4 linked regions of the Pelodiscus sinensis genome follow. The protein of the gene in region 3 interacts with the protein of the main gene of each other region in a pairwise test. Links are inferred from orthologs where the notes say so. Each region holds a gene or a part of one and is shown on either strand. Other genes may lie near its edges. The genes, in order: CCDC198, FOSL2, FHL3 and SNRPG.

Evidence for each region.
Region 1: the proteins of FHL3 (region 3) and CCDC198 interact in binary tests that used the Homo sapiens proteins (3 or more experiments, as listed by UniProt). The two-hybrid records come from large-scale screens. The link is inferred for Pelodiscus sinensis from reciprocal best matches to the Homo sapiens genes FHL3 and CCDC198.
Region 2: the proteins of FHL3 (region 3) and FOSL2 interact in binary tests that used the Homo sapiens proteins (3 or more experiments, as listed by UniProt). The two-hybrid records come from large-scale screens. The link is inferred for Pelodiscus sinensis from reciprocal best matches to the Homo sapiens genes FHL3 and FOSL2.
Region 4: the proteins of FHL3 (region 3) and SNRPG interact in binary tests that used the Homo sapiens proteins (3 or more experiments, as listed by UniProt). The two-hybrid records come from large-scale screens. The link is inferred for Pelodiscus sinensis from reciprocal best matches to the Homo sapiens genes FHL3 and SNRPG.

Annotation. Positions count from the first base shown.
Region 1 is NC_134714.1:10,904,038-10,911,613, forward strand, and holds the start of CCDC198 (factor associated with metabolism and energy), read right to left. Parts: upstream 3,002-7,576; coding exon 2,776-3,001; intron 1-2,775. UniProt on the Homo sapiens protein: May be involved in tuning the metabolism, energy expenditure, and excretion processes.
Region 2 is NC_134713.1:160,978,213-160,985,320, forward strand, and holds the start of FOSL2 (fos-related antigen 2), read right to left. Parts: upstream 3,005-7,108; 5' UTR 880-3,004; coding exon 781-879; exon of another isoform or gene 658-780; intron 640-657; exon of another isoform or gene 233-639; intron 1-232.
Region 3 is NC_134735.1:10,806,830-10,814,576, reverse strand, and holds the start of FHL3 (four and a half LIM domains protein 3), read left to right. Parts: upstream 1-4,726; 5' UTR 4,727-4,864; intron 4,865-7,747. UniProt on the Homo sapiens protein: Recruited by SOX15 to FOXK1 promoters where it acts as a transcriptional coactivator of FOXK1.
Region 4 is NC_134738.1:2,090,515-2,097,567, reverse strand, and holds the start of SNRPG (small nuclear ribonucleoprotein G), read right to left. Parts: upstream 3,019-7,053; 5' UTR 2,916-3,018; coding exon 2,884-2,915; intron 2,466-2,883; coding exon 2,443-2,465; exon of another isoform or gene 2,385-2,442; coding exon of another isoform or gene 2,330-2,384; intron 1-2,329. Other genes in the region: protein FAM136A, read right to left, coding at 5,931-6,119. UniProt on the Homo sapiens protein: Plays a role in pre-mRNA splicing as a core component of the spliceosomal U1, U2, U4 and U5 small nuclear ribonucleoproteins (snRNPs), the building blocks of the spliceosome.

The sequences.
Region 1 (7,576 bases), on a different chromosome or scaffold from region 3:
TGTGCTGAGTTAAATACATTCACATTTTAGCGAAAAAGGCCCAAACAGCTGAGTTTGCAAGAGAAAAGGTTTACCTGCCATTTATCGGGAAAAAACCATTTATAACTTAGATTGCAAAACTCTGCTTTTTAAAAATGACTGTTCTTAAATCCATAGGGCTAGTTAGTGCCTACACAATTTCTGATTGTGGAATAGAAATGCAAAGACAGTGAATTATTAAAACATTAAATGCAGCATAAGCTCAGGGCTAGGATTTGGGCCAGATCTACACTAAAGGGGAAGGTCAAATTAAGAAATGCAACTCCTGCTATGTTAATTAAATAGCTGGAGTTGAGATATATTCGAGTTTGCCTGCCGTCCCCACAGTAGAAGACTTACAGGAGCAAATGCTCCTGGCACCTTCCCTTACTCTGTGCAGGAGCAGGAGTACTGGCTGCCGATGGGGGCACCCTCTGAGTTTGATTTAGTGGGCCTTTACTAGACCCACTTAATGGAACTCCGGAAGATTGATCATGGCAACTTCGATATTTTACTTAATGAAGACATGGCCTTCGAGTTAGTGGCAAGGGAGTCAGGGGGACCTGAGATCTGTTCCAGCTTTGATACTCAACTGACTTGCTGCATGAACTTGGGTAAGTCATTTCACCTTTGTAGGGTTCTCTTTCCCCTCCCAACATTATTATTCATAATTTATTTGGCTTGAGATGTACAGGCAGTCCCCGACTTACGTGGATCTGACTTATGTCTGTTTATTCCCTTGGGGGCACCTGGCATTGACCACCCCATGGTGCAGCCCCTGTTGCCTAAGTAGCACCTAGGAGCTCCAGTCGGGAATCAGGACCTCGCTGTGTTAGGTGTTGTACAAGCACAGGACAAAAAGAACGTCCCTGCTCCCCAGAGAGTTTACAATCAAAGTCTATTTGGAGAGTAAGCGGTTTAGGACAGGGGCTGTCCTCAGAGGTCTGCACAATTTCTAGTACAACAGCACCTTGATCTTGGATGGGCCCTTGTGCATGACTGCAATACAGATAATAATCAAATGAAGCCCCTGCCTAAATTTCAGAAATTCTACTGCTTTTTTTCCCTTTGCTCTTCAATAGCAAAGATACCTCAGAAACAACAAGTAGTCCTGTGACACCTTAGAGACCAACAAAGATATAAATGACCAGGGGTCGCCACATGGTGGCGAGCCCCGCTCTCCAGCCGCACGGAACCGCACACTGCACATGCGCTGACCGTGCTGCACGCCCGCACCGGGCTAAAATCTACTCACCATGGGTGAGTCGATTACATTAATTGTCGAGCCCTGTAAATGATCATGAGTTTTTGTGGGTAAAACTTCATCAGATGGCCTAGGATGAAGTGGGTTATACCTATGAAAACTCATGATCCAATATATTTTTCTAAGTCTCTAAAGTGCCACAGGACTACTCATTGTTTTCAAAGTTATAGACTAACACGGCTACCTCTCTGAGAGTTTTTAAAGACCTCACTTGCTCTGAAAAGTGCAATTTAGCACAAGCTGAAATGAATCTTTGTGAACAAAATAAAGCATTTTGTGTAACAGATATTTGTTCGGTTAGACAGTGGCTCCAGCTAATTCATCATTCAAATGGGATACACTATTATTATCAAAAACAGCACATGTAATGGAATATGACACTTCTAGAGATGACTTTTCATAAATGTACTTGCTAAATACCCCATGGTTAGCTCTTTGCTAACTGGAGTATTTATTTAAGTGCTGTGGCTGTCACAAAACACTCCAAATGTCATGCTGCATATCTAGAGCCAATCTATATTCATCCCTAGACCCTCTCGGTTCCTGAAATGTGACTTCTATCAGGGCAGCGGTACATTTCCTCTCATATGCTCTATACGTAGCATAGAAGGAGGAAAATTTCCAATCCTGCTAAGCACATTAAACCAGTGACTGCTAATGAAATTCACTGTTAAGTACAAAGTAGGACCTAATCCTGCATCTGTTTACTCATTTGAATAATCCCATTGAAGTCAAAGGAGATGTATTTACATACAAATGGTAGGGTGGAGTGGTTCCCTTATTGTTTGTATTACTTGCTTATTTAAAGCAATGTTTCCCGTTCCAGACCTGTGTGTAACAGACTCTGGTCTAGGGCCTCCCTGGTCCAAATTAGCTGTGCTGTGATTCTCAGCTTCTCTTGTAAAGAACATTGAGATGTACTGGTGAAAAGGAGAACTTGATACTATTCTTATAATTGCTTTGATTTACATCGGCTTGCCCGAATGGTGAATAATTCTTTTGGGTTTAACTCAGGTGGTGTGTAGCTCGAATAACTACATACACACATAGTAGAGACATAGAGAAACATATTAAAGTGGTTGCTACAGAAATACATGGTTAGAACCTGTCCTGCAACTCTTCTCCAGCTAGTCCGATTGAAGTCAAGGACACAGGGACAACTTTCTGTGTGTAAGGATGACTCACACAAGGAAGGACTGCATGCGCTGGGCTATTTGAGATGTAAATAAATAATTGAGACAGTTTTCTAAAAGAAGCTGATTTTTTCCCCCACAGGGCATGTCAGAACTAGACACATGCCTAAAGTAACATGTACACACACACTCACACAATTGCATTTGCTAAACCTGCAGATTCCCATCATTTGTCTTAATTAAAATGCAACGATTTGCTGCTGAGCCAGGTCAACAGAGATCATTCAAACTCCAAAGCACAAACACTCAGCTAGTCGGAGCACTGTAGAAAGGGCAGTCACTTATCCACGACCAGGTTACCTGTGGAGCATCTGCCATACCGAGTTTCTCTTAGGGGTGGAAGCTGCCTTGGAAACACTGGATTTCTCTCCTCCAGGCCTGCGAATGAACATGCACAGCTGTCTCCCAGGGTGCTCCGAAATCCACACACCGCTGCAGTGCAAGGAGAAGGAAGCCCATCCTCTTTGGTTTGCACGGGGGCCACTTTTGTCACCTTATGATGAGCCCTGGAGTAGCTCAGGCCCATTTTGCTGAGTTATGGCATTCAACGCATAAAAAGACTAGGTGAAGGAGTTCCTGGACGTGGCCGCTGCACAGAGCTGTGCCTTGGGCTCCCTTTGAAGGCAATGCCTGTGTGTAAAGCTCCCAGGTTCCCTCCACGGCAACGTTCACGGTCTGCCTGACCACACACATGCAGAGCTGATTGGGTGTCCGGTAGGCCAGTTTCCATGGCTATGCCTCCCCAAACCCTTCCTTCCTGAATCCTGATTTGGTAAGCCCCGTTAAACATTGACCTGGGCTGGCCACTTCCTGGACCGACCGAGAGCCTGGCAGCGCTTGAATATTAAACTAATTCAGAGAAGTCTGAGGTAAACACCAAATAACAGAGTCTTCCCCTCCCCCATAACTATTTATAATGTTACACACTTTTCCTGAAAGGTAGCTGCTCATTTAACCAGGGAGTGGCCTGAGAAGTTTCTCTTTGCTTCTCCGGCCAGCTGGTTTGTAAAAGCATTGGTCTCACCAAGGAAATTTTGTCCTTTAAGCACCAGTGGGAAGAGAAGGCGTCAGGTATTGCAGCCTGCAGCCAAAGAAGAAGAAAAAATCCTGGGAAGTGCCACATTTGAGGAACTGCCTTTTCTTTACTCTGGTATATCTGAGAGCATTTCCGGCCCCGTAACTTCTATTCACTTGCAGGCGTGTAACCCGGAGTAGAATGTGGCCCCAAAGGGAGAACAGCAGAAGGGAAAGACCCGCACTTTTGTGTCCTTGGTGCTAACAAAGCACCTGCACCTTGCAACCCTATCCACTCCTCACAGTGCTAACCCACCACTTCTCTAATTCTTAGGCAGGCGAAGCTCCTTTTCGGCATCCGTGCAGGTTTTGCATGATTACAGACAAATCCCCACTTAAATTAGCAGACGTCACTCTCTTTGTGTAGCTCTAAGGAAAGACTTTGAGGTTGGCCAAGGAGAGTAGAGAGTCCCCAGAGACGGCTGCAGGGCTGAGTTCCTAGCCACTGGCAACCTCTGTTGGCTTCCAGACCATGGATGTTGCCGGACCAGAGAGTTCCAGACCACAGAGGTTCAACCTGGAATAAGGCCAATATGCTGGGTTGAGTCTAATCAAGCTCTTTGCCAACTGGGCTTGCCAGGTGTCCGGTATTCAACCGGACAGTCCGGTTTTTGGGCCCTCTGTCAGGTAAAAAATTCAGAAAATACCGGACATGTGCAATGTCTGGTATTTCCTGGTTTCCCGGCTGGGTGCCCGATGGAAGCCTGGTGGGGGCGAGGGGAGTGGCTGGGAGGCGGGGGCGCGATCGGCACTTGGAGCCTCTGGTTGCGTCTGATGTAGGGGTGGAGGAGGAGAAGCCCTGTCCGTGCTCCTAAGCGTGGTTCAAGCGCGTTGTGGAGCCATAGTCAGACTCGCTCGTACTTCACCGGGACCATGCTCGGGACAGACAGCGCCCTGGGATCTGCATGTGCCCAGGTCAGTCCCACTCCCTGTCCCCCGCCCCCACCGGCCAGCCCCACTCCCCCCTGATCTCCCCCGAGCAGCCCTGCATCCCACCGGCCGCTCCCTCGATCTCCCCCACCCAGCCCCCCTGCCCCCGCCTCCCTGCCAACCCTGCTTCCCGTTCCCTCCCCCCTCCTCCAGGCCCCTCCTGGCCAGTCCCTTCCTGCCCCCCAATCAAGTGTGTCCGGTATTTTTTCTGAAGCTACCTGGTCACCCTATTGCCAACTCTTCTCTTGGGAGAGGACTTTGACAAGGAACAAAGGCGAGATGTGAAAAGGTACTTACCTGCCTATGGTGCCCACTGGGATTTCCAAAGCATTTAGATACCTGACCCCCATTGCAATCAATGGGAGTTAGACACATCTGAAAATTCCATTACGTGAGTGTCTGCCTCTTTAGGCACCTATATACCCTAACAGCTCTGGCCCAAACTGTGTCAGTGCTTTGCTGGATCAAGGCTTTCTACTTCGGCTTGGGAATGTCATGCATGCCATCCCAGAGAAGAGAAGCAAACTTCAGCTGCTGGGGTCCTAGTCAAAAGGCTACGGAGGCCTGTCTTGTAAGGAGGAGCACTGGCGATAGTATGAAGCCCTGCAGACCATGCCTAGTGCCCCTGAATGGTGAGCACCGAGCTTAAGGGTCTTATAATGACAACTCAGTAGCGGGACCACTCCTGGCTCATGCACACAAAAGGGGCATGAAGAGTGGGGAAGCAAATTCAGCTTGAGAGGGGAGTTAATATTTCTGAAAAGGCTTTTTAAGAACAAAGACCCCCAACCAAAATCATGGCCTCATGGTGCCAGGAGCTATACGAACACAGGGTAAGACTGAAGCCCAGCCCAGAAGAATTGCCAGTGTAACCAAAGAGTATTATTTATCAGCCTCAGTTTACAGATGAGGAACTCAGGCACAGAGAGGTGCAGTGACTTGACCATGGTTACATAGGAAGTCAGTGGCAGGGTCAGGCATCAGCTGCCGCTGTGCTGTGTCTTAGTTGATTTCCCCTCTTCTGTGTGGGGAAGTCCAGTGAAGTCCAGGAGAATTTTGCCACGCATTTCAATGGAGTTCAGGATTTTACCCTATATGACTGTTCTGAGTTCCTAACCCCACCCTAGTTGTCATTCTGGCCTTTTATTCTATCCCATTTTCAGTGTAATGATTTGGCAGATTTGTCTGGAGTTTGGGGAGTGCAGGAGGCCAGTTAATGAGCTGCCATCATTGTGCAGTGGCCCTGTGTAATGCAATCAGCTAGGAATGACATTCCTTGGCAGAACTTACTCATCCACAAACCACTTTTACTGCTCCATCAAGTTAATGTTTATACCACAAAGTATTTTTCTCTGCTTATGACGTTCCTTCACAATCGAATGGAAATTGTGGATACAGAGCATGAGGTATCTGGTGATATGATGCCAGGTGACAAGAGGGGAAAAAAAGATAGAGTTTGGGGGTGTTTTTTGACACTGCTATAACACAAGATGTGTTATTTGGATATGTGGATTTGATGGCCTGTCTGGAACATGTGGGATATGAAAATGGAATAAGTATTTACAGAATCAAATATTTTTCCCAGTTGGCTAGATATTTATTAGGCTTGGTCAAAAATGTCCAGTTTGCTCTGGATAGTAAAAAAAAACGGCAAAACTTTCTGAGCAAAAGACCAAAAACACCATGAAGGGATTAAAACAAAATTTAAAATCTGATCAGTTATGGAAACTTGTTGATAGTAGATTTGTTTTTACCGCGTTTGGCAATTTTTTTCATTTTGTTGGTGGAAAAACTGGAAAATGATGCCCAAAAGTGTGTGTGTGTGTGTGTGTGTGTGTGTGTGAAAGAGAGAGAGAGAGAGTGTGTTTATAGTATATAATTTATGTTAGATATAATAAAATATTTAATATAGGCAATTTCCTGGTGACACCTACAGTGAGCAAGTTTAACATAAGAATGGCCATGTTGGGGCAGACCAATGGTCCATCTAGCCCAGTATCCTGTCTTCTAATAATGGCCAATGCCAGGTACCCCATTGGGAATGAACAGAATAAGTAATCATCAAGTGATCCCTCTCCTGTCACCCCCTAAAAAACAGAGGCTGAGGACACCATTCCTATCATCCTGGCTAATAAGTAGTGATGGACCTAGTTAGGCCTCAGCTGGAGTACTGTGTCCAGTTCTGGGCGCCACGCTTCAAGAAAGATATGGAGAAATTGGAAAGGGTACAGAGAAGAGCGACAAGAATGATTAAAGGTCTAGAGAACATGACCTATGAAGCCAGGCTTCATGAACTGGGCTTGTTTAGTTTGGAAAAAAGAAGATTAAGGGGGGACATGATAGCAGTTTTCAAATATCTAAAAGGGTGTCACAAGGAGGAAGGAGAAAATTTGTTCCTCTTGGTTTCTGAGGACAGGACAAGGAGTAATGGGCTTAAAGTGCAGCAAGGGAGGTTTAGATTGGACATTAGGAAAAAATTCCTAACTGTCAGGGTGGTCAAATATTGGAATAAATTGCCAAGGGAGGTGGTGGAATCTCCCTCTCTGGAGATATTTAAGAACAGGTTAGATAGACATCTGTCAGGGATGGTGTAGACAGAGCTTGGTCCTGCCTTGAGGGTGGGGGGCTGGACTCGATGACCTCTCGAGGTCCCTTCCAGTCCTATAATTCTATGATTCTATGACCTAACCTCCATAAATTTATCTAGTTCTTTTTTGAACCCTGTTAAAGTCTTGGTCTTTACAACATCCTGTGGCAAGGAGTGCCACAGGTTGACTGTGTGTTGCGTGAAGAAATCATTCCTTTTGTTTGTTTTAAGCCTTCTACCTATTATTTTCATTTGGTGACCCCTAGTGCTTATGTACTAGTAACAAGTAAATAGCCTTTCCTTAATTCTACAATTCCTTAAGCTACAATCGTTTCTTAATTCTACAATTGAACCCTGTAAGTAGTGATTTCCCTGATATAGCCTGATCATACCTAGTGTGATAGCCTATATTACGTGTCAAAACAATGGCTCAGAAGCTTGTTCTACTTTTCAACCCTGCAAAGGCTTACGCACCGGGAGTTGTCCCATCGACTTTAATGGATCCACTTA
Region 2 (7,108 bases), on a different chromosome or scaffold from region 3:
TTCAGTCCCAAATTAACTCCAGCAGAGGACAGCAAAAGCCGCGGTGTGACTGACCCCGCAGGAATGGTCGCGGCAAGAGGAGGGTGTGCGTGTCAGCACAGACCCCCGCTGGCAGCAACTGGATGTCTGCGCGGAGACGGGAATTTCAAGAAGTCGAAAGCAACTCGCAAACACGCGCAAACTCCCCACACTTAGCCGCACAGGCGATTAAAAGTTGCCTCGCTCTCCTAACCTGGCGTCATGTAAATCCGTAGATTAGATTCCTCATTATTTACACTCACACCAAAACGCCCAAACTCTTGCAAAGACAGAAGTTGCTTTCCCCCTCCATTTAAGGCGTGGACTCGAAATGGACTCGGGAGTGCCAAAGGATAGGCAGTACCTATTATTCCCCTAATCTCCAACTAGGCAGAAGTCTGATAAAGGCTCTCACAAAGTGGACTGGGTGTGGCGAGTGAACTTTACTATCTAGTTAAGGCGATTTTTTAAAAAGTTAGTACAGGAAGATGGCCCACAAAAAGCACAATAATGTCACACGGATGTTACACACAGATTTCGCACACAACCACACTATAGTATTTTATTCTGCTGAAGAGGAGAGAGACCTGGTTTGAAAGTAAAACTCGGTGCCCAAAGTGGAAGGTAGAACTGTGTTACCTACGGTCCTTGGCTCCCACAGCAGAGGGTGCTCCGTTGCGATCAGAAAGAAAGTTGCACTGAAGGGAAAAGAGAAGCTTGATCATGTCAGTTGTATGGCAAGGTGCATGTGACCACCCCTACCTGTTGTGCTGTCCCGCTGGAGTAAGTCTCTGCGTGGCCTGGGGAACCGCTGCTGCCCCTGGAGGAGGTATCAAAGTTCCCGGGATAGTCCTGGTACATGATCCGAGGTAGAAGCCGGAGAGAAACACGATGTTCTTTCCTTCTCTCTCTCTCTCTCTCACACACACACGCACGCTCTATTTCTCCGCCTCTCTCGCCTGATTTTTTTTAAATTTATTTTCTGCCTTCTAGCTGCACGTAAGGATTTGTTGTTTTTAAATAGTTAAAAATAAAGCCCTTTCCTCAACTTTTTCCTTCACTCAAGACTGGCGAAAAATATTTCCCACTTCACAGAACAGAGGCAGTCTCTTTAATCTGAGGTTTTCGGTGCGTTCAGAAAAAAAAAATAAAAGCCGTGGATTTAAAATTTCCCGCAAAAAGTATAATTAGATGTCTCTTTAAAAAAAGTCTTAAAAATCTATTACATTTGCTCTGAAGAAAAAAAAAGGGAGGGGAAAGACCTAAACACACACGCTTAAAACTTGTCTCTGCTCCCCTCTTCAAACTTCCTGTGAATATTTGTTCTGGTTTTGAAGCTTCTCTGACTCTGTAGTTTTCAATCAAGAGGCTTTTTTGCTTATTTAATTAAGTCTTGTATAAAAGTGCCAGGTCCCTGCTCTAGCCGGACTGGATGAGTCAGTCCAGGATTTTAGCCTCTTGATTTTTGTTAAGCTCTTTTAATTATTGATCTTTACAGTTGTTACCTGCCCTTCTCTGCCCGCGCGTGAGTCTCTCTTCTCCCCCCGTGTCGCCTGCCCCCCTCTTTCTCTCTGCCTGAGTCTCTCCTGGTATCTTGTTCTCTGAGCTCCTTTACTCTCCCTGGATGAGTCAGTGCAATGGCATTAGTTCAACTCCACACTCCTATTATCCATCCCCTCCTCGGAGAGCTGTACCATGTGGAGTCACACACGTCAAACTCCCAGCTCGCCAAGCCCCACCTTACCAGAGGGAGTCGCCCACCTGGCAGGGGGAGGGGGAAATTCACCCCGCCCACAGAATCTGATTTGGCCGAACCCAGCCCACTGCCTGCAAACCAATCTCAGAGCCCCGCGGGGAGAGACCATCCCCTGTGCAGCGGGGGGAGCACCCTGGGCCCAAGCGCGCCTGCTTTGTTACTGTCAGAGCCCACCCACTCCCCCCACTCCGCGGCGGCCTTTAGTCTCGTCCATTGGCGCACGTTGCCAAAGATGGTCATTTGCGTTGCACGACGCCAGCGCGGGTTTCCTTGGTTAGGATGACGCGGCCCGAAAGGGATTCCCTACTCGCTCGCGCCAGATCGGCCCCGCTTAAAGGGGAACCGGATCGGAGCAGGGGAGACGCGGGGAAGCAGCATTCGCTTGCCGCCCGGCCGTGCCAAAACGGGGGCTGGATCCGCAGCTGCCCCCGTGCTGGAAAGGGGGGTGGGGTGCGTGTGTGCACTGGATCCAGCGTTGTCCTTGCGTGGGGAGAGGGAGGGGAGCCGGTCCGTGCGCAATCGGACCCGAGTGTCCTTGGGCGGGCGCTGAAGCGTGTGTGTGTGCGTGCCACTGGCTCCAGCGGTGTCCTTGCCGAGGAGGGGAGGGAGAGCGCGCTCCGGCGGCTGGCTGCGAGGCCCTGCGTGCGGTGCGCTTTGGCACGGCTTCCCCTCGCTGCTCTTCTCTGGGCAGGACACGCTGCCTGGAGCAGGAGCGGCGAGGAAAGTCCGCGCTCCCGTGCAGGCGTTTCTCTGGCGGACGCAACACCCGGCACCTCGTTTTGTAGGGGGCTCGGCTGCGCTAGAGGCGGATTTGTTTCCTCGCCCTCCTAGGGCTCGGACCCTAACGCTGCTCTCCTCCGCCTGCGGGGCTCTACCGCCAAAGGTAGCTGCTGGTCACGAGTAAAACCGCCGTGCGCACGCCGGGGAGGCGCTGCCCTTGCCCTGGAAAAGGCGCTCTCCACGCTTTGTTTACTCAAGCCCTTCCCACCAGCGCGAGTAAACACACAGGGCTGCTGGGGGGAAGGCAGAGCGGTACGTGCGGAAGGGGGAGAGAGTGGGAACTCGGAACAGGGGCCGCCCTTCCCAGCACTCCCCCCTCGGCCCAGCTGGCTGCAGCCAAGTCCTCCCGCGGAGCGACCCAACCGCGCCAGGAGGGGGGGATACGAGCAGAACCGGCTGCGCCTCTCCCCGCCCGGACACCAAAGCATGTTTGTCTCCTTGTTCCCCCGCCAAGTGGCCGCAGAAACACACGTTCCGCCCTGCTGCGGAGGGGCCGCCCCTTCCAGTAATGCCTGGGAGGGGCGCGCTGGCTGGCGGCTGAGCCGGGCGGCGCTGAGTCCAGCACGCAGCGTCACACTCTCCCTCTGCTCCCGCGGCTTCCAGTAAAGCGGCTGCTGGATAACCCCAGCCTCTCCAGAGCATCATGGAATCTGGGCTGCTTGCTGATGCAACGGCCGGCACAAGCCTTTTGCGTTAGCAGCTGCAGCCTGTAGCTGCGGTGATGACAGCTCCTCGGGAGGGAGCTGCAGGGAAGAGAGGCGGGATGAACAAAGATCAACTCCAGTGTTTCCAACTGAGTAATTATAGGGGGTGCCTGTGCAGGGGGGCAATTTTCCCCTCGGAAATGTCTTTGAAACGACAGATCAGCTGGAGAATTCCACAGGCAAAGTGCTAGGTCTTCAGAGGGCTCTTGAAAAAAAAATCTCCAGTGAGAGAGATTACTGAGGAGCATCCAGAAAAGGGAGAAGGAGATATATTTGGCATTTTTGTGGCCTCCTTCCTGTGCAAACTGAGCACCAAGGAAATGTCTCCTATCAGTTCAGGCCTCTATCGTTGGCTCCTAAAACATGCAAACCACAACCCAGCCCAGTGAGGTTGAGTACATCAAGGAAACAAACCACATGTAACAGCTCAGGACAAAGGTTACAGTTAAGCGACACCACCCAGCAACGCTCTACCCATGGTACAAAAATCAGACATTTATTATGTCCTCCTTTGCATGATTTCCTTGTAACCACGTTTTTTTCTTATGAAATGTTTTTAGTATCTCATTAGCAAAACAAAGGGTGTGGAACACTAACAAGAAATGATAATGTTCTTTAAAATGGAAGAGAGATGGTCAACAGAAACCCAACTCATAAAATATATAGATACCCATAACCAGCATTCCCTGTTCTTTAAATTGAGGAGAGTGCATTTAGAAGCTTAATAGTGAGTACACAGTGAGTTTCAGCCACTTGCTTTTCAGCAGCTGATGATGAAACAAATGCATGGAATCCCAATGGTCTGGACTGAGTACCAGAGATGAGGCAAGGAAGGGGAGGGCAGACCAAGGTCAAGCCATACAATGCAACCTCCCCAGAGTACATACCAGAATAGGACAGGACTTGTTCCAGCAATTGCATCAGTCAATGCCTTTTGAGAGTTCTTTAGTTTAATGGAGATTCTGTGACTTAGTGTTGGGATGGATGAGAACAGAATTGTCATGTGCTTTGAGCAGGTGATTGGGAATTAGGCTCTTACTTATGTCTCTATGCCTCAGGTTACCCATCAGTAAAGTGGATGTCCCAATACCATTGCACAGAGGTGGAGTGTGGCTTAATTATTTTTTGTAAAGTGCTTTAAGCTAAAAAGAGCTCTATAACACATCTCTGTTTCTAAATAGGTTAATATCACTGTTTGAATACACTGTGCAGCACACCAGCAATTACAGTGTTCCCCCCCAGGTAGAACCACCACCCTTGGTTGTATGCCAGACTTGGCAAGTACAGGTCATCACAGCACATGGTGTGTCTGAATAGGAACCTGCAAATCAGCATTTCCCTTCATAGCTGTGATAGTAAATATAGAAACACTTGTGACCCTATTATCTTTAGATATGACTAAATCCCACAGTTTCCTGCATGTGACATTGTATTGAGTACTTTGGTTTCTGCAATGGAAGGACTTTTTCCTAAAGCTTTCTAAACAAATCACTAAAGCCTGGAGGAAGTGGTAAGGAGTGGAACATGGAAAAAAATAAATTTTCAGATGACTAGTACTCTGAAGGGTGTCAGGATTCACAATAAGGAGCCTTCTTTTCACTCTCTACCCATGTTCATATTGCTGCAGCTAACATGGTCATCTTCTGCTGCACCGAGCTGATGCCAACCTTGTTACCTTTTCCAGGCTCTGCACAGCTTTGCTCCTCCTGCTTTCCTCCCATAATCCTTCCAAGCTGCATATGCTCTGCCCAAGCCTCTCCTTAATGCTCCCTTTGTTTCCTCCTGCTGCTCTCACCTTCATGTATTTTTTCTCCCTTCTGTTGTAATAGTCTCTTCCAAGAGCTGTCTCCTTCTTCAAATCTCTCTTAAAACCTTTACTCTTTCACAGATCCTATGAAACTGTGATAATGTAGGGTATGAAAAATTTCAACAGGTTTTGACTGTCTCCTTTAACCCTTTTGCCTCAACATTTTTTTTTTTTTGTCTGCATGTGTACTTTTCGCACTATGGTCTATTTTGTATTTGCCTGAATCAGACTATAAGATTATTTAGGGACCTATATGTGATTTGTAAAAATAATAAAGTTTTGTCACAGGATGTATATGTAATAGCACACTCCTTCAAAGATATTCCTTCCCCCTCCTCCAGGAATGGCCTCCAAGGGGGAGAGAAGTTTGGTCTGCAAGGCCCATTCTGTCGCTGGCTGAAATCCATTTGCTTAAATTGTCATGGCTGCACGTTGTGGTGTCAACGGTGGTGATGATTTTTATGATGTGGGCACAATTCCATTAGGAACTGGCCTGAAAACCACCAACTCATTTAGGCTCCCAAGCAAACCTCAGATGGTGACGGTAAATGACTACTAATCTGGGCTGGAGTCAAACTGGCAACCAGGGGGTGAAAAGGATTACAGCCTATTACTAATTCACCATGCCAGACAATTCCCTAGACTGCTATTATATTAATAATCATCCTAGAAGGGAAGATGTCAAGATCAGACTATGGCCAGGCATGTCAGACAGTCTACTGAACAGATATGCTGACTCTTGTAGAGTATAGGACTGAAGATTAAGTAAATCCACTAAAAGACTATAACCCATTCAAGTAAATGGAAATACAACAATCATACTAATTTAGTGACCAATAAAATGTTGATGTTCAAAATTAAATGTGTATATTTTCTTAATCCTCTTAGAGGATGTATACAGCATATCTCCTTAACTGTTAAGGAAGATGACTTCTAAATTCAAACTAAAATCCCATTATGCTCATTTTTCTACAAAACACTCAAAGAGTGATAGTCTTTTCTTCGCTTTGTCTTTACTTTCTCCAGGAAGCACTAACAAAGAATTTTAGCTCATCTTTGGAAGTCTGAAAAGAGACAGCACATCAATTAGATACTTTTTAGTACCTGACAAGTCAGATGTTTAGAAGCAAAAACTCCTGCTGATATTGTTTGGTTTTTAGCACCTTCATTTTCCAAGCAATTGAAATTCTTGGTCCAAATTAGCTGGTCTGTTTCATGCAGCGTCTAACTTTAGAGGAGGTGGGGCTAATGCTACAAAAATAAACCACTGCCTCCAATTTGCATTGCATTAGGAGTAAGGAGGCGGAAGGGAGAGTTGCGTTAATAGGCACTGTGAGATTGTGACGTCCTTTCCCCTTTTGATTGTACGTCAAACAGATGAGCTACACATGCTTGATCTTCACCAGCAGAAAGAGAATTAGATCAGGATGTGAGAAAAATTAGCCTGTAGTTGTTATGAGATGATCAGAGAGAGACACACTGATATACTGAAATAAAAATGTCTGCAAAAGTTTCCTTTGGTTTGGTCATCTCTCTTGGAGTACTGAAATGTTTCCTATTGGGCTGCTATAGAGAAACTGGACACAGGATCCCAGATCCCTTGGATCAGTGCTCTGACCTAGGATAACAAACCCCATGTTCCTGAATGTTTCAGAAGTCCAGCTGGTGGTCTTGTTAATATTTAGCAGGGCCATTAAAGTCAAAGATTATTATATCATAACAACAAGATATCGGGTCCATTTTGGCCCCTCTGCTCCCCACTACTACTGTGAGGAGGGAAAAAATGCATTCAGGGAGCCTGACGGGTGAGGAAAAGGAATGCCACCTACACCCTACTTTGCCAGACCTGTAGAAGATACTTTCCAATGCCCTGCAGAGTGCCAGCCCTTCAGGTGGGGAGTTGAGCTAGCTGGCTTCCACTGGTTTCTCTCCTGATCTCAAACCTGAGGGACAATAGTGATAGAAATGTAGCTGTGTTAGTCTGGTGTAGCTGAAACAAGAAATAGGACTATGTAGCACTTGAAAGACTAACAAGATGGTTTA
Region 3 (7,747 bases):
GAGGAGCTATTTCAAAATAGCAGCAGTGGAAAATCCACACCTATTCCAAAATAGCTATTTGGGAAGAGGCATAATTCCTCATGGAATGAGGTTTACAAATGCTGAAATAAGATACATTTGCCTCCATTATCCTAGTTCTATTGTATGTCATGTTTCAGTGTATCTAACATATCAAAATTAGCTGAACGCTTGAAAAGTTATTTCAGAATAATGGGCGTTATTCCAAAACACTGCTAGGCTGTGTCTACACTGGGCCACTTATTCTGGAAAATCAGCCACTTTTCCGGAATAAGCTGCGAGCTGTCTACACTGGCCCTTGAATTTCCGGAAAAGCAACGATGCTCTACTGTACAAAATCAGCCGCTATTCCGGAAAAACTATTCTGCTCCCGCTCGGGCATAAGTCCTTATTCCGGAACACTGTTCCGGAAAAGGGCCAGTGTAGACAGCCCAGTAGTCTACATTGGCCACAGACGCTTTTCCGGAAAAAGGGCTTTTCCAGAAAAGCAGCCTGCCAATGTAGACGCTCCTGTTCCGGAAAAACTGAAAATGGAATAGTATTCCGTTTTAAGCATTTCCGGAAATTTATGCTAGTGTAGACACAGCCCTACTGTGTAGACGTGCCCTAAGGTGCCACTGGACTATTCGTTGTTTCTAACTTACTGAGAACTTAAGTCCATTGAAAGACTTTGCTTTTATCTTATAAGACCGTTGGATCTTACAAATTGTATGGTACATTTTGTTCTTTTGATGTTAAGTGCAAGATATCCTGCCGGCAGGAATCTTCTTCATTCTGGTCTGGATTTTAAGCAAGGATCCCAGTTCTATGAGCTAGTTAGGATAGGCCCCAAAGAACACAAGATGAGTGGGCAAAAGTGGCTGGTAAGCCCCTAATATTAAAATGCTTTTGTGACACATCCTCAGAGGATGTAAATCACAATAGCTCTATTTTAAGTCAATGGAGGTATATCAGTTCAGAGCCTCCGAGGATCTGCCCATTGCATGTTAAAAAAGAAAAATCCCATATTCAAGTAAAATTCACATTGTGCAACGACCGCCTGGCCTTTATGTCATGCACAAGATGAACAAAATGCACTAATTCATTCTTTTGTCTGCGTTTACATGTCAGAAATGGGTGATAGACAAAACCTTTGGAACATAAATTAATATGCGATTGACCTAATTAATTTAGAAAAAGGTAGAAAACTAAGATTTTGTAGAAAAATCTAATTTAATTAGATTTGTACAGGGCAGCTAGCAGCAAAAGAAAACTGCTGCATATGGTTGCCAAGTCTCCTAGAAAGGACGGACAAGATACCATTTGCAGCAATGCTGTCCGGTCCACCTAAGTTGGCAGTCCTCCTGTTGTAGGTCTTTGTGAACTGACTGGTGTGCTAAGGGCTAGAAATAATAGGCAGAGGAATGACCCTTCTGAAGCAAAATCCCACAGTCTATCCAGATCTATTAGATAACCAGCAAAGCTTTTACAAGAGACCCATTTGTTCTTAGATGCTCCTGTTCACTGTAAAGGAGCTGAAGAAACAGTCTGGCCACAAAGCACTCAAGACCCACAGCAATTCAGCAAATCAAAGAGAAACACAAAGATAACTGATGCATCTGACAAAGTGGGTCTTTGCCCACAAAAGCTTATGCTCCAATACATCTGTTAGTCTATAAGGTGCCACAGGACTCCTTGTCGCTTTTGCAGATCCAGACTAACACCGCTACCCCTCTGATACTTGAAAGATAACTGAGGAACTGTAACCAAGGAGGAAGTGGCTAGATGCTTCTTGTATTTACATTGTTAAAATGATTTACAAAAATTCCCATTTTTCAACTGTGGCACTCCGTGATTCCTGGCTTGATGAGCACAAGCAGCTCCCAGCAGGTGGTGCCGCAGGGCAAGCGATAGAGGCGATGGATTGAGAAGTTTTCAAATTCCCTTTAAGGGAAAGGATTTGGTGCGGGAAAAGTTTCACAAGGCTCATTCCCTTTCCAGAAGCCACTAGCTGCTGCCAAGATTTCCCCAAAGTACAGCAGCTAGTATATCTCTCTGATGACCCTCAGAAAGAGAACACTGAGCAGAGCAGCTCCAACTGAAAACTACTGCTACTGTGACATTTTATTATATGTTGTTTGCAGGTTTGTTTCTAGCCATATTGGTCCCTGGAAATTAGAAAAACAAAGTTGGGGATGCAATATCTCTTATTGGGCCAACTTCTGCTGGTGAAAAAAGACAAGCTTTCAAGTGACACAGAGCTCTTCATATTTTCTTTGCATATAAAGTTTAAACTGAACTTAAATTAATTCCCTGGTTCATCTACCATTTTTATATCTGCCTTCCTCCCTTACACAACTCTAGGTTGAACTTTCTTCCTATTTTAAGCAAAACCATTGGGTATTAAACTGAACTGATTCCAAAACAAGCTGAGAGTTTGGGTCTTTAATCACTGTCTGTATGTAAAAACAAAACTTAAAGAATAAAAAGAGACCTTATCCATTCCTTGTCTCTTAAGGAGAGAGTGCTACTGTACAGCAGGTACACTATGTACATGTCCACTTTCTCCAGAGCTGTAAATTAAATGGACATGTTTTGTAAGGCATATTGGAAAACAAGTATGGTAAAAATTGATTACAAAAATTAAGAGTGAATGAACTCATGAATAAGGATCCTAATGTAACTTAAATTCCTCCTGTGGTCTTAGAGAGAGAGGTGGTTTTCTGGCCTATTGCAGAACTGAATTTCTCTGGAAGATAAATTGGAATATTTTCATAACTGTTTTTGTCCATGCTTTGCAAATAATTCCAGCTAAGCCTCAGCTATTACTCACCCAGGGCTATTTATGCAGTGTGGTAAGCCTATCTACTTGGCTTGGAGCAGAGACTACTTTAGGGAAATATTATCAAAGGCTGTGAAAGAACACAATATTACCAACCTCACACACAAACCATAGCCACGGGGAACACTATGAAATCCAAATGTAGCTGTTTTGAGTATCTCACAAGGAATGGCAGGGTAATCTTCCCACACACATTACTCTCTGCCTGTCCATTTCTACACTTTTACATGCTCACCTTTTGCAATGGTATCTGCAGGGTTTCATCTAAGCTCTGCTCAGCTGGTCCCCCTCAAAAAATCAAAAAGGGCAGAGGCTACCTAGCCCATTCCATATCACTAGGATGACTTCCCAAAACATGGCCAGTACACACTGGGAACTAAGACAAAGATGTGAACTGGAGGGTTGGGGGGGGGGGGGGGAGAAAACTGAGCACAATGAGATGGTAACAACTTTCATAGAATACTAGAACTAGAAGGGTCTTTGAGAGGTCATCAAGTCCAGTCCCCTGCCTTCATGGCAGGACCAAGCACCATCTAGATCATCCCTGACAGATGTTTATCCAACCTGCTCTAAAATATCTCCAGTGATGAAGATTCCATAACCTGCTTAGGCAATTTATTTCAGTATTAAACCACCCTCACAGTTAGGAAGTTTTTCCTAATGTCCAACCTAAACCTCCCCTGCTGCAGTTTAAGCCTATTGCTTCTTGTCCTATCGACAGAGGCCCAGGAGAACAATTCCTCATCCCCCTCCTCCCTGTGACACCCTTTTAGTTACCTGAAAACTACTATCATGTCCTCTCTCAGTCTTCTGTTTTCCAAACTAAACAAGCCCAATCCTTCAGGTTTGCTTCATAACTCATGTTTTCTAGACAGACCTTTAATCATTTTTGTTGCTTTTCTCTGGACCTCTCCAATGTCTCCACATCTTTGTTGAAATGTGGTGCACAGAACTGGACACAATACTCCACTTGAGACTTAATTAGCACAAAGTAGAGCAGAAGAATAGCATCTCATATTTTGCTCACAGCACTCCTGTTACTGCAGCCCAGAATCATGTTTTGTTTTTTACAGCAGCATCACACTGTTGACTCATATTTAGCTTGTGGTCCACTATGTGGCTGCCCCCTAAATCCAGAGATTCACTCACTCCTGAGCTGTGGGCAGATTCAAACCTTGGCCTACAGGTGACATGGGCTCAGCCCTAATCCCTGCAGGCCCTAGTTTACGGAGGCTGCTTAGGGTGTATTTACACTGCGCCCGGAGCTTGAAATAAGCTATGTCATTTGAGCTACGCAAATTGCACCGCTTATTTCGAGTCAATGTTGACTTAACGCTTTTTTTCTCACCGAAATTTGGCGCTGCCTACACCGCACTTATTTTGAAATAAAAGGCTCTTCCGAAACGTCCCTTATGCCTCGTGGAATGAGATTTACAGGGACGGCAGTAGAGCGAACCCGTTATATTTCGAAATAACGGGCGCGCTCAAAAGACGCGGGATAAGCTATTTCGGGATGCCCGAAAAATTGCGCTGCAGTGTAGACCGGGCCTTAGAGGAGTTCAGGAATCGGGGAGGAAAGCCGTGGGTTTGATCCAGGTCTGGAATGATCCAGGGCCAGAGGTATCTGCGCATCAGCGCCTTGTGGGCGTTATTTAGTCTGTCCCTAAGTCTGCCAGTCCTTACGGTGCTGGGGGAGAGGGTCTCCAGGGTTAGGCACGCTCTTGTGCCAGTGAATACCCCCGGGACTTTGCATGCCCAGTACCTCCCCCCCAGCCCGTTCCCTGCCTCGCTCCCCCCCAGCACCCTGCCTAGTGCCTTCCCCCAGCGCCGGCCTCGCCCCCTCCGGGCCCTGCACCCCCCTCCCAGCCACAGCAGCTCCGCCCCGCGGGCGGGGCAGGGGCCGGGCTCAGTTTCCCCCGGCGGGGCTGGGCTGGCCCCTTCCGCTGCCAGCGCCTGTCCAGCCGCGCGGCGGGTGAGGAGCAGCCAGCGAGCCCGGCTCGACTCGGCCCGGAGCGTGCGGAGCAGGTGGGGGCGCCCCTGGGGAAAGGGGTTCACCTGGGGGTGGGGAGGGGTCTTTGGGGAGACGGCCCCCCCCCAGCTGCGGAGCCCGGCCCGGGCTGGAAGTCGGGGTGTCGCCTCCCCGATGGGCAGGCTCCTTCCAGCTCCCGTGCCCAGCCGCCAGCTGTCCGGGGCAGGACGGTCCTGGTGCCACCCCACGCGCTATCCACAAGGGGCTGCTGCCCCCTTGCTGGAGCTGAGCCCTCTGCGCTCTCGTGGGAAGGTGCAGGGCACCGGGGGGTACCGCTGCCTTGTGCAGATCTGTGCCCTGATGTGCTGTCTGGGGCCATGGGCAGCAGAGGCAGCGAGCGGCAGGGTCCTGGGGGCGAGGGTTTTGGGAGCATGGGCAAGGTCTGGAAAAGTCCACTCACGCTTCTGTATCTCCCCGGAATATTCCTCATCACCCAGTGATGCTTTTGCTGTCTTGTAAACACCTCAGGAAAGGGTCCGTGCCTCCTGATGAATTGTATAGAACTAGGGGCGCTCACTGAAGATAGAGACAGTCCCCTTCCTTGCAAAATATTTGGGCCAGGAGCAAAATACAGGAGCAGGACATTGGTGTGCTAGTGCCCTTCTTCCAGCTCTGTAAATTGGGCACCGGCAACAAAAAAAGGGGAACTCCTATCTCGGTATGTGTGTCTTCACAGTGCGGGGGGTGGGGGAGTAGGCAGTCTTTCTGACTTACAGAAATGCTTCCTCTTTGTTTTGGGATGCTAGGAAGAGGCATTTTTTCTTTGTTCATCCTTTACTCTGCCTAGTGGAGTTCAAATCGCATGTAGAAGGTGGTAGGACTTGCAAAAGAATATTCACCAGTTGAAAGTAGGAAACTTTCCCTTCCCCGTATATGTGGGGGGGGGGGGGAGGAGGTGTTGGAGGGGGCTAACTCATCAGCTTCTGCAGAATCTAAATTGTCATTGTGTTAAAAAGTTCCTCCTCCTTTTAGCAGTGAAGAAAACTCTGTAAATGTGAGTCTTGTGTCAGACAGCTACAGTGTTCCATAGCTGCTGCTTTATCTTGGACTAAGCTTTTAGAGCAATTAACAAGACTCGAGACAGTTTTTCAGAACTGTGATCAAGGGTGAACTCCAGTTGGCAGTTTAAATTGGGGAAGCAGCAGGGGAGAAGGATCACAAAAACCAGGCGCTGAGGGAGGGGTAGAATATCAGAGGGCCTCTCTTCTATTACTCAGCTGCCAGAGGTGAGCAGGGAAAGATGGGGAGTTGGTTTCAAATGTATCAAATCCATAATAGCCAAATGCTGATACAAAGCACCTTGGTAAGAATCTCTGCACTCTTTTCTTTCCTAGCAGTTGGTAAAGGGAACTTAAAGCTCATCACCTGATAAACCGTCTTGTTAGTCTTTAAAGTGCTACATAGTCCTGTGTTTTGTTTCATCTCTTCCCAGGCTTTGTTTGCACTGCAGGGTTTTTGTGCAAGAAGCTTTTCGCGGAAGAGATCTTCTGCCAAAACTTCTTGCGCAAAAGTGTGTCCACACCTCAAAAGCGCATCGCAAAAGCGATGTGGTTTTGCACAAGAGAGCATCCACACTGCATGGATGCTCTTGCGCAATAAAGCTCCGATGATCAGTCACAGAATGGCCATCAGAGCGCCCGTGCTTTTTCTGATAGGCTCTTTTGGTGCAAGAAACCCCTGCAGAGCATACACATGTGCCTTTTTGTGCAAGAGCTGTAGTGCAAAAAGGAGTTCTGCCTTGAGGGGAGAGGAATAACTCTACCTTGCTTGAGGTGTGGACACTCCACCATTTTTTGCACAAAAATGGCCAGTTTTGCGCCAAAACCTTGTAGTGTAGATATAGCCCCTCTGTTTCCATACTAGCTTCTGGTTAGTACATGTCTACTTAACAACTTCAAGCTCTGTGTTTGGAGCATATTTCACAAGAGGGCTCTGAGGGTAATTTTAACTGTTGCAGAATTTCACTCACATCCATTCCAGAGCAGTGAGTGTTGGTTTATTTCCTGTTACCCACATGTTTAATGCTACTGACTCTGGTTTTGCTCTTTCAAAGTGTTTTCACGTGATTTTAAAGTTTTTTTTATTTTTATTCTTTCACATTTTTGCAAAACGGATGATTACCTGTGACACTTTCCTTCTTGGAGTTTGAATGACTTCAGGGAAATGTAACCAGGGATGAATTTGGCCCCAAATGTCTAATCCGTTAATTATAATCTGTGTTTCTATCCAAGGGTAAGTTCTCAGTTAATTATTCACTTTTTATGAATTGTAATCGTGGCACTGCCCAGCCCTAGCAGAAAAAGATTGGAAAGGAAAATCCTTTTAAGGTGAGTTCCCAGTGTAATTTTCTTAAAGAGAAAGTGTAAATTAAGGGCCAGCGGGGTCACAATGCTTTCATTTTGCAATAAAAGGAAGATGACTACAGTGTGGACATCTGGATTTGTTTTTTGAAATGTCCAAGAAGCTTTGTGGCATTTTCTGAAAGAAATATGAGAAAGGGGAGTATTGTGCCTGCTCTAGTGGAATTGTGCTGGTTAAAGTCCTGAGCCTTAAACTTCATCTTTAATGGAAACAGTCCTGAAACAAGACAACAGACTCAAAAGCTAAACGTAAACCAAATGCTTAAACTGAGTTACTTTGAGAAAGTGTTTGTAGGAGAGGAGGGGGTGGTATTTTGCACGCATCCAGATGGCTCAGTGAAATCAAGACGCTTTGGCTTGCCTAAGACTGGTTATTTTGAGGCCTCAGTTATTTGGCTTTCTAAAATTCACCTGGCCGTTTCTTTTAAACAAAGACAACAGAGAGTTTGCCGCTTTAAGCAACAGATCAGTATCTATTCAAAACATTGTTTTAATAAAAAACATTTAATGACCCCTAGT
Region 4 (7,053 bases), on a different chromosome or scaffold from region 3:
AAGCGGGATCCCAGCCTATTATTGGGGTCCTTAGGCCTTACCACAATACAACCTGAATAATACATTAGTTATGACAAGAATTTGTAGAGATACAGTCATTTGGACAAGACCATATTTCTTATTACTGAAGGAGACTGAAGATCTACACAATACTTTTAGTCATTCTTGTCATAAATGCGTATGTAAAATCATATAAATGTATTTACGTATGCAGCCACTTTCGAGACCGTAAACAAAAGTAACGGCATAGTTGTCATCACTGGAGATCAGAAACCAATGATATCTGCATGTTTTGGAGCACTGCAATCCCATTTTTGTCATTCGTGTATTACTTTAATCAACAGAGATAAACACAGCAACTCAACAGCCACCTATCATGGCCCCAAACACATTATTCAGCTCCATGATAATTCTTTCCTACTGTACACTCAGATGCACAATTCTATTAAAACTGCATTGGAAAACACCACCAAAAATAACACAGCAGCATTTCAGGTGGACCCCAATTTTTTGACTACTCTCCCACCCATTTTTGTCTTAAAATCTTTCAAGAAATATTAGCCAAAGATCTTGTCTAAAGACAAAACATCCTTCTTGTGGGAAGCAAAAATCTTGCAGCACTTTATACAGAAAATGTGCTCCAAAGATACACATTTCAACTACCATTATTTATAACATGACTTCACAAGTGACAAAACTTTATGTTTATCATTGAGTCATTATTAAAAGGAAGATGACTGCTGCCATGATCGACCTTCTGGAGTTCAATTTAGCAAGTCTTTAAGACTTGCTAAATCAAGCAGAGGGTGTCCCTGCCAGCATCCGGTATTCCTCCTTTGCTTCTGTTGGCCTCCCGCTACTTGGGACGCTGCTAAGCCGACTCCAGCTACGTAGTCTACGTAGCAGGAGTTGCGTACCTTAAACCGAGCAGTCAGGTCTAGTGTAGACCTGGCTTAAAATCCAACACACTAGCAGGTACCAGTTTCTTAACGTATTGTTCTGCACCTTCATCTTTATTTTGGATACCAGCATTCTAAATACTGGTACATGAAGAACCACTACCAGTGCAATACTAGGGATGTGAAGGTGTAACTGTGTAAGCAGTTAACAGATAAGCCTGAGCTTATTGGTTAACATTCACGGTTACATGCAAGCCCCCCACCCTTACTCTTGGGGAGCTGGCTGCCAACCTGCGCTGCTGCCTTTCTATTAGCACAGAGGCGGCAGTCAGTTCCACAGGGAGCCAACTGCTGTTGTGGGTGGGTATAACCACTGAATTTTTTCAGGGGTTACACAATTACCCACATTTTACCATTCCTAGGCAGCTCAATATATTTTGCCTTTGAATCTTTTCTATTTTCTAATGACAAAGCTGATCTCAATGGTGCAAAGTGTTGGGGGATACCTGATGGGGTAAATGGCATTGTGGGAGAACCATCTTTGATTCAGTTAACCTCCCAACATCCACAGATATAATGTGAAACAAAAGACAGGACTATACAGCACTTTAAAGACTAACAAGATGGTTTATTAGGTGATGAGCTTTCGTGGGGCCAGACCCACTTCCTCAGATCAAATTGTGGAAGAAAATTGGCATGACCATATATACCAAAGGGATACAATCGAAAAAAGTGAACACATATAAAATTGACAAATCAGATTTTAATATCATTATCTCATAGACACTAACCTCCCTCCCTCACCCGCCCTCTGTTCTAAAATCAGATTTGTCAATTTTATGTGCGTGCACTTTTTTGGATTGTATCCCTTTGGTACATATGGTCATGCCAATTTTCTTGCTGCATAGTCCTGTCTTTTGTTTCAGCAAGCTACATCTCTATTACTAGATATAATGGCTGTGTCTAGACTGGCAAGTTTTTCCGCAAAAGCAGCTGCTTTTGTGGAAAAACTTGCCAGCTGTCTACACTGGCTGCTTGAATTTCCACAAGAACACTGACGATCTCATGTAAGAAATCGGTGCTTTTTGTGGAAATACTATGCTGCTCCCATGCGGGCAAAAGTCCTTTTGCGCAAAAGGGCCAGTGTAGACAGCTCAGATTTGTTATGCGCAAAAAAGCCCTGATTGCGAAAATGGCAATCGGGGCTCTTTTGCGCAAAAGCGCGTCTACATTGGCCACGGATGCTTTTGCGCAAAAAGTGCTTTTGCAGAAAAGCGTCTGTGCCAATCTAGACGCTCTTTTCCGCAAATGATTTTAACGGAAAACTTTTCCGTTAAAGGCATTTGCGGAAAATCCTGCCAGTCTAGCCGTCGCCACCGTGTATTGTTTCAATACTAAGAATAGCATGTCTGTTTAGTGGTGTGTCATACCTATCACACACACATTGGCAAACAACCCACGTGTACAGTGCTGCTCCCAGCCCATCCAATGGCAGCGTGACGGCTGCTCACAACCAATCCAGGCGCGCACACAAATAACTCACGTGACAGCTTCTTGTCCATGAATCTGAAAGCACAAGGAGGCAGCGCATTAGGGGGCCGCAAGGGGGCGTGCCAGAGCCCCCCCACAACGCGGCAGATGGGCCGGTCCCGGGCAGCCGCGTGGTTTGTGCGCAGGCGCCAATGGCCAGGGGAGGCGCCGAGTGCCGGGCTCAGCAGGGGGCGGGGCACCCGGAACTGAGCGGGCGGGGTCGCTACGCCCATGCGCGGGGCGGGGCGCAGCCATGTGCACACCACGGGAGGGGTCTCGCCCACCCCGCGCGGGCAGGCCTCACTGGGCAGCGCGGTGCATGCCGGGATACTGGGGGAGTAGGCAATTAAGGTGGGTCCTACTGGAATTACACCCCCCCCTCGACCAGCCGCCCCTCCCTCGGCGGGGCGATCTCCGCTCTGCGCCCCGCCCCGCCCCGCCCCGCCGCACTCACTTCTTCAGCTCGGGCGGGTGCGCTTTACTCATGGTGCCCTCTCAGTCAGCCCCGCACAACCGCCTCCCGCTCCTCCGCGCGGAACCCAGCCTCTGGCGTCACCGCGTCCCGGATACAGCCACCAATCAGAGCTGACGCCGAAGCCGCGTGCTGGGACCCCGACAGCCAATCGGGCGCCTGCGTATGACATCACTAGACCAGCCAGCCAATCAACATGGTCTCCGGCATCTTCTGCGGATGACCTCACTGACCCAACAGCCAATGCGGGCCGTGCCGCTTCCTCTCTCCCCGTCAGCAGCGCCTCATGGAGGAGGGCACCTAGCTCACCTCCGCCGTACTCCACAGAATAGAGGCCCAATCTCCTTTTTCCGGGGAAGCAGTGGCCGCTCGGGAGCCAGATCGAAGCAGATAATGCCAAAGCCGGTTCCACACAGGGGCCCGTCGGCCGCGGAGTTACCAATGCTGCCTAAATACGGACTCATTGAAATGTGAATGCGCGGCTCCCCTAGACAATACGGCCTCGCTTGTTGCATGTAGCGACCCTCTGGGTTCGCTTTTCAGTTCGCGTTGGCGCTGGAACCTGCCCTGACCACGTTCCAGGGGGCTGGATCCGCTGTTTTGGTTCGGCCCGTTTAACAACGTGTAGACGCAAAATGTAGGTTTGCCACATGTGCGGAGTTTGGATCTGGCTCCGATTTACACAAGAAAGTGGTGACTGACAAATAATCCGATTTCAATCCAGGAGGAACCTGCCATACGTTTGCTGCCACCCCTTTCCCTGTCTTGACTTTTTAGCTGGTAAGCTCTTTGAGGCAGGGACTGTTCCGTTGGGATGCCACTATTCCATTTGTGCAGTCCTTAGCACACCATTTGGCATTGCTTCCCTAGGCACTAAACAGGATTAATAATAAGGTTGGCTCTTTGGTTCCAAAGCAGGGAGTTGGAACTAGAGCTGTTTTAAATGTTAGCAGTGTTTGAGACACATACTAGCTCCAACTATAATACAAAACGAAGAGCTCAAGGTAGGAAAACACAGTAGAATACACAAAATCCACATTTAGCACTTCTCGCAGTGTAGCCATAATGATGAGCCTAGTCGTAAGAAAGAACTCAGAGGAGTTATCATCTAAAATTTATTTTTGAATCAAACTTTTAGAAAATAAATCCGTTTTTAAAAGGACAGAACAAAATGGTTGTGTTAATTACAGTTGTTCATGAGAAGGAACAAAACAGGACTCTCAGCTCACAATAAATAGAACCATCCTAAGGTATTCATTACATTGTCTCCAGCCACAAGGACAGGACCAGGTGGTGCTGCTGTTTTCTGGATGTCATTTCCCTTTTTATTTTGGTGGTGACTACCTCTCTGTATTGTGTTCATTTCCCTTGAGGACCACAGATTCAGAATTGCCTACTCCTGTAGCCGAGTAGCTCCATATCTGAGGCAGCTATTAATGGTTATCCATGACTAGCTTAACCTTGCCCCAGCATTCAAACCAACCTCCTCTGTCTTGCTCCCTGTCCCTGCAGCTTGAGGAAGAATGAGATCTGAAATCCACCTTAAGACTGCACCACAACACACAGAATCTGGTAGTGCACTGAACACTGCTATCAATTCTTTACTTAAGCAAACTCCTGATTTATACCAGCATGAGGGAGAATCAAGGACAGGTTCTCTGCGCGTTAAGTCAAAAAGTTATCAGGTCAAAAAGGAGGAGAGATTCCACCTATTAAAACCTTCGGTGGTTGTTTTTCAGAGGCTCGGGGGGGGGGGGGGGGGGGAAACGACGACACATTTATGCCCCACTGCATGGAACAATACAGCTGCTATAATTCTTAATGATAGACTTCAGGCTGAATGCTGCTGTTCCTTACACCACTGCAAATCAGGAGTAATACAGATGTAAAATCAGCATGAGTGGAGCATTATGTAGTATTGGCCATTCCTTTTCAATAGGCCATGTTCTTTGTGACTCATTGCTTCAGAGAACCCACACTTAGCTGGCTGACCTTGTTCTCTTTGTAGAATTATATATGACGGGATTGGTGGCCTGATGAGGTCAGGTGAAGTTAAAGGGCTTTTTCTCCACTAGGTTCACACACAGGCATATCTCCATTTATTCCATTGGAATCACTTCTGATTTATGCCAGTGTGAGAGGCAACAGAGACCCAAGATGTTTTAACTGCAGAAACTTGACCTACCAGTGCAAAAAAAAAAAAGTCTCCCTGACTTCCTCTTGTCTCCTTTAACATAAAGGCACTTGCACTAGAAGGACAGGGGGAACCTGTCAGTGCTAGACAATCAGTTCTGCAGATATGAGGGCAGTTGAGGAGGGAAAAATCCTGTCCCCAAAGCATTTTTTTTTAAATCACAATAGCCCAGAGAACAAGTGAGGCAAGAATTATGGCCCTTTGAATTCTAGGGTATCAAACCCAGTGGTAGTTATACTTCAGATCCTCTGCCCATCACATCACCACCAAGAATACGGGAGAGTGGACTTTTGGAGCCAGATACTCAGAGCGTTTACACTGGCATGGCTCCACTGACACTAATGGAACTACACCAGTTTATATCTGACTCTTAACACTTGCAGGGAACTATTGAGGCATATTAGTTAGGCAGCAATGGAGAAGTTTGCACCTGTCCCAGGGACAAAGGTCCCTCACACTCCAGGCCTGTCCAGCTGGAGGTGCCTTCCAGCAGCCCTAAATTCACTACAACCAAAGTAAGTCAAGGTACTATCAAGTAATAGAGGATCCTGCTATTAGCAGCATGGTCTATACATACACTAACCATTAACCCTTTGAGGACTGGAGCAAAGTCACTACTCTGTCCTCTCCACACCTGGTGACACTTCTCAAATCAACCCGAGACACCAACACTTCAAACCAGCTGTTGAATGGACCACTGCAATACTTTGAAAATACAAAAATCACCCTTATCATCCATTTTCATGCTTCAATTTCCAACACGAATCTCCGTGTACACGTCTCTCTCTTAATAGAAGCTATGCTTCTCCCTCTCTCCCCCAAAACAAACTCAGATTTATTGTGTAATAGCTGCCAAAGTCTCCTTCATTTTCTTGGTCATGCTGGGGATGAGATGCATGTGGTCGTCCACGCACTTCGTCACGCAGCTCTCCAGCTGCTGTTTCACCTGCTGCTCCTTGCTCCCTGAATCCAGGGAGTCTTTGGCCTTGTCGTTACAGTGCATTGTGCAGCGAGCCAAGCGGTCCTGCAAATGAGAATTCCAGACACTTAGAGGTTCAAATGGCTGGGAGCAAGTGGAAAGTGTATTGGGAGGAAGTGCAGACATGGGAAAAATGAGCTCTTAACCTGCTATCTAAGAGGTGGACATCATGTGTTGGAGAACACAGAACAAAATTATTTATAATGGAGGGAATGGTTGGAAGAAGAATGAAACCAGCTGCAATCTGGAAGTTTCTCTCATCATTTGCAATGAGACCTCCAAACTAGGGATGTAAGTGACTAGTTGACTATGCGAGGCAGCAAGGGGGAACAGCAGGAGCCGGTTCCCCGCAGCACCGTCTCCACAGGGGGCAGGGAAAGCAGGAGGGTAGCGGGGACCACGTGCAAGCCGGGAATCAGCTGATTCCCAGTTTGCGTCCAGTCCCAGACGCTGCGCCTCTGATTTTTAAATGTATTATGAGCCTACGGGCTCTTAAGTTTAAAAATCAGAAACACCATTGTGTGCGAGCCAGGATGGCTGATTCCCAGCTCGCGCTGGGTCCCCCCGCTGCGCTCCTGCCTTTTTACATTATGGCTGGTATGCAGCCGGGGGGAGACCCAGAGTCAGCACAGCCTGGTGGCTCTTCATACATTTAAAAGGCAGAGCCGCAGCAGGAACTAACCCCACTGCGGCTCCCCTGCTTATTGATCAATTGACTAGTCGATGGAAAAATCTACCAACTAGTCAATTAGTGGATTAAATTAAATTTAACCTCCCTACTCCAAACTCATTTTGTTTAGGCTCCCCTCCAAATATCAAACCCTAGGGGGTGGCGGTGTGTGTGTAGCTACTCCTCCAGCCTGCTCGCTTTCAGACTTGCCCCTTTCACACTGGAAAATCTACCCTAAAAAGGCACGTTCTCTTTGCAGGAGGTTCTCCTTTCTGGTGTCCTGCGCTTTCAAACCCTGTGCTTCCTAAT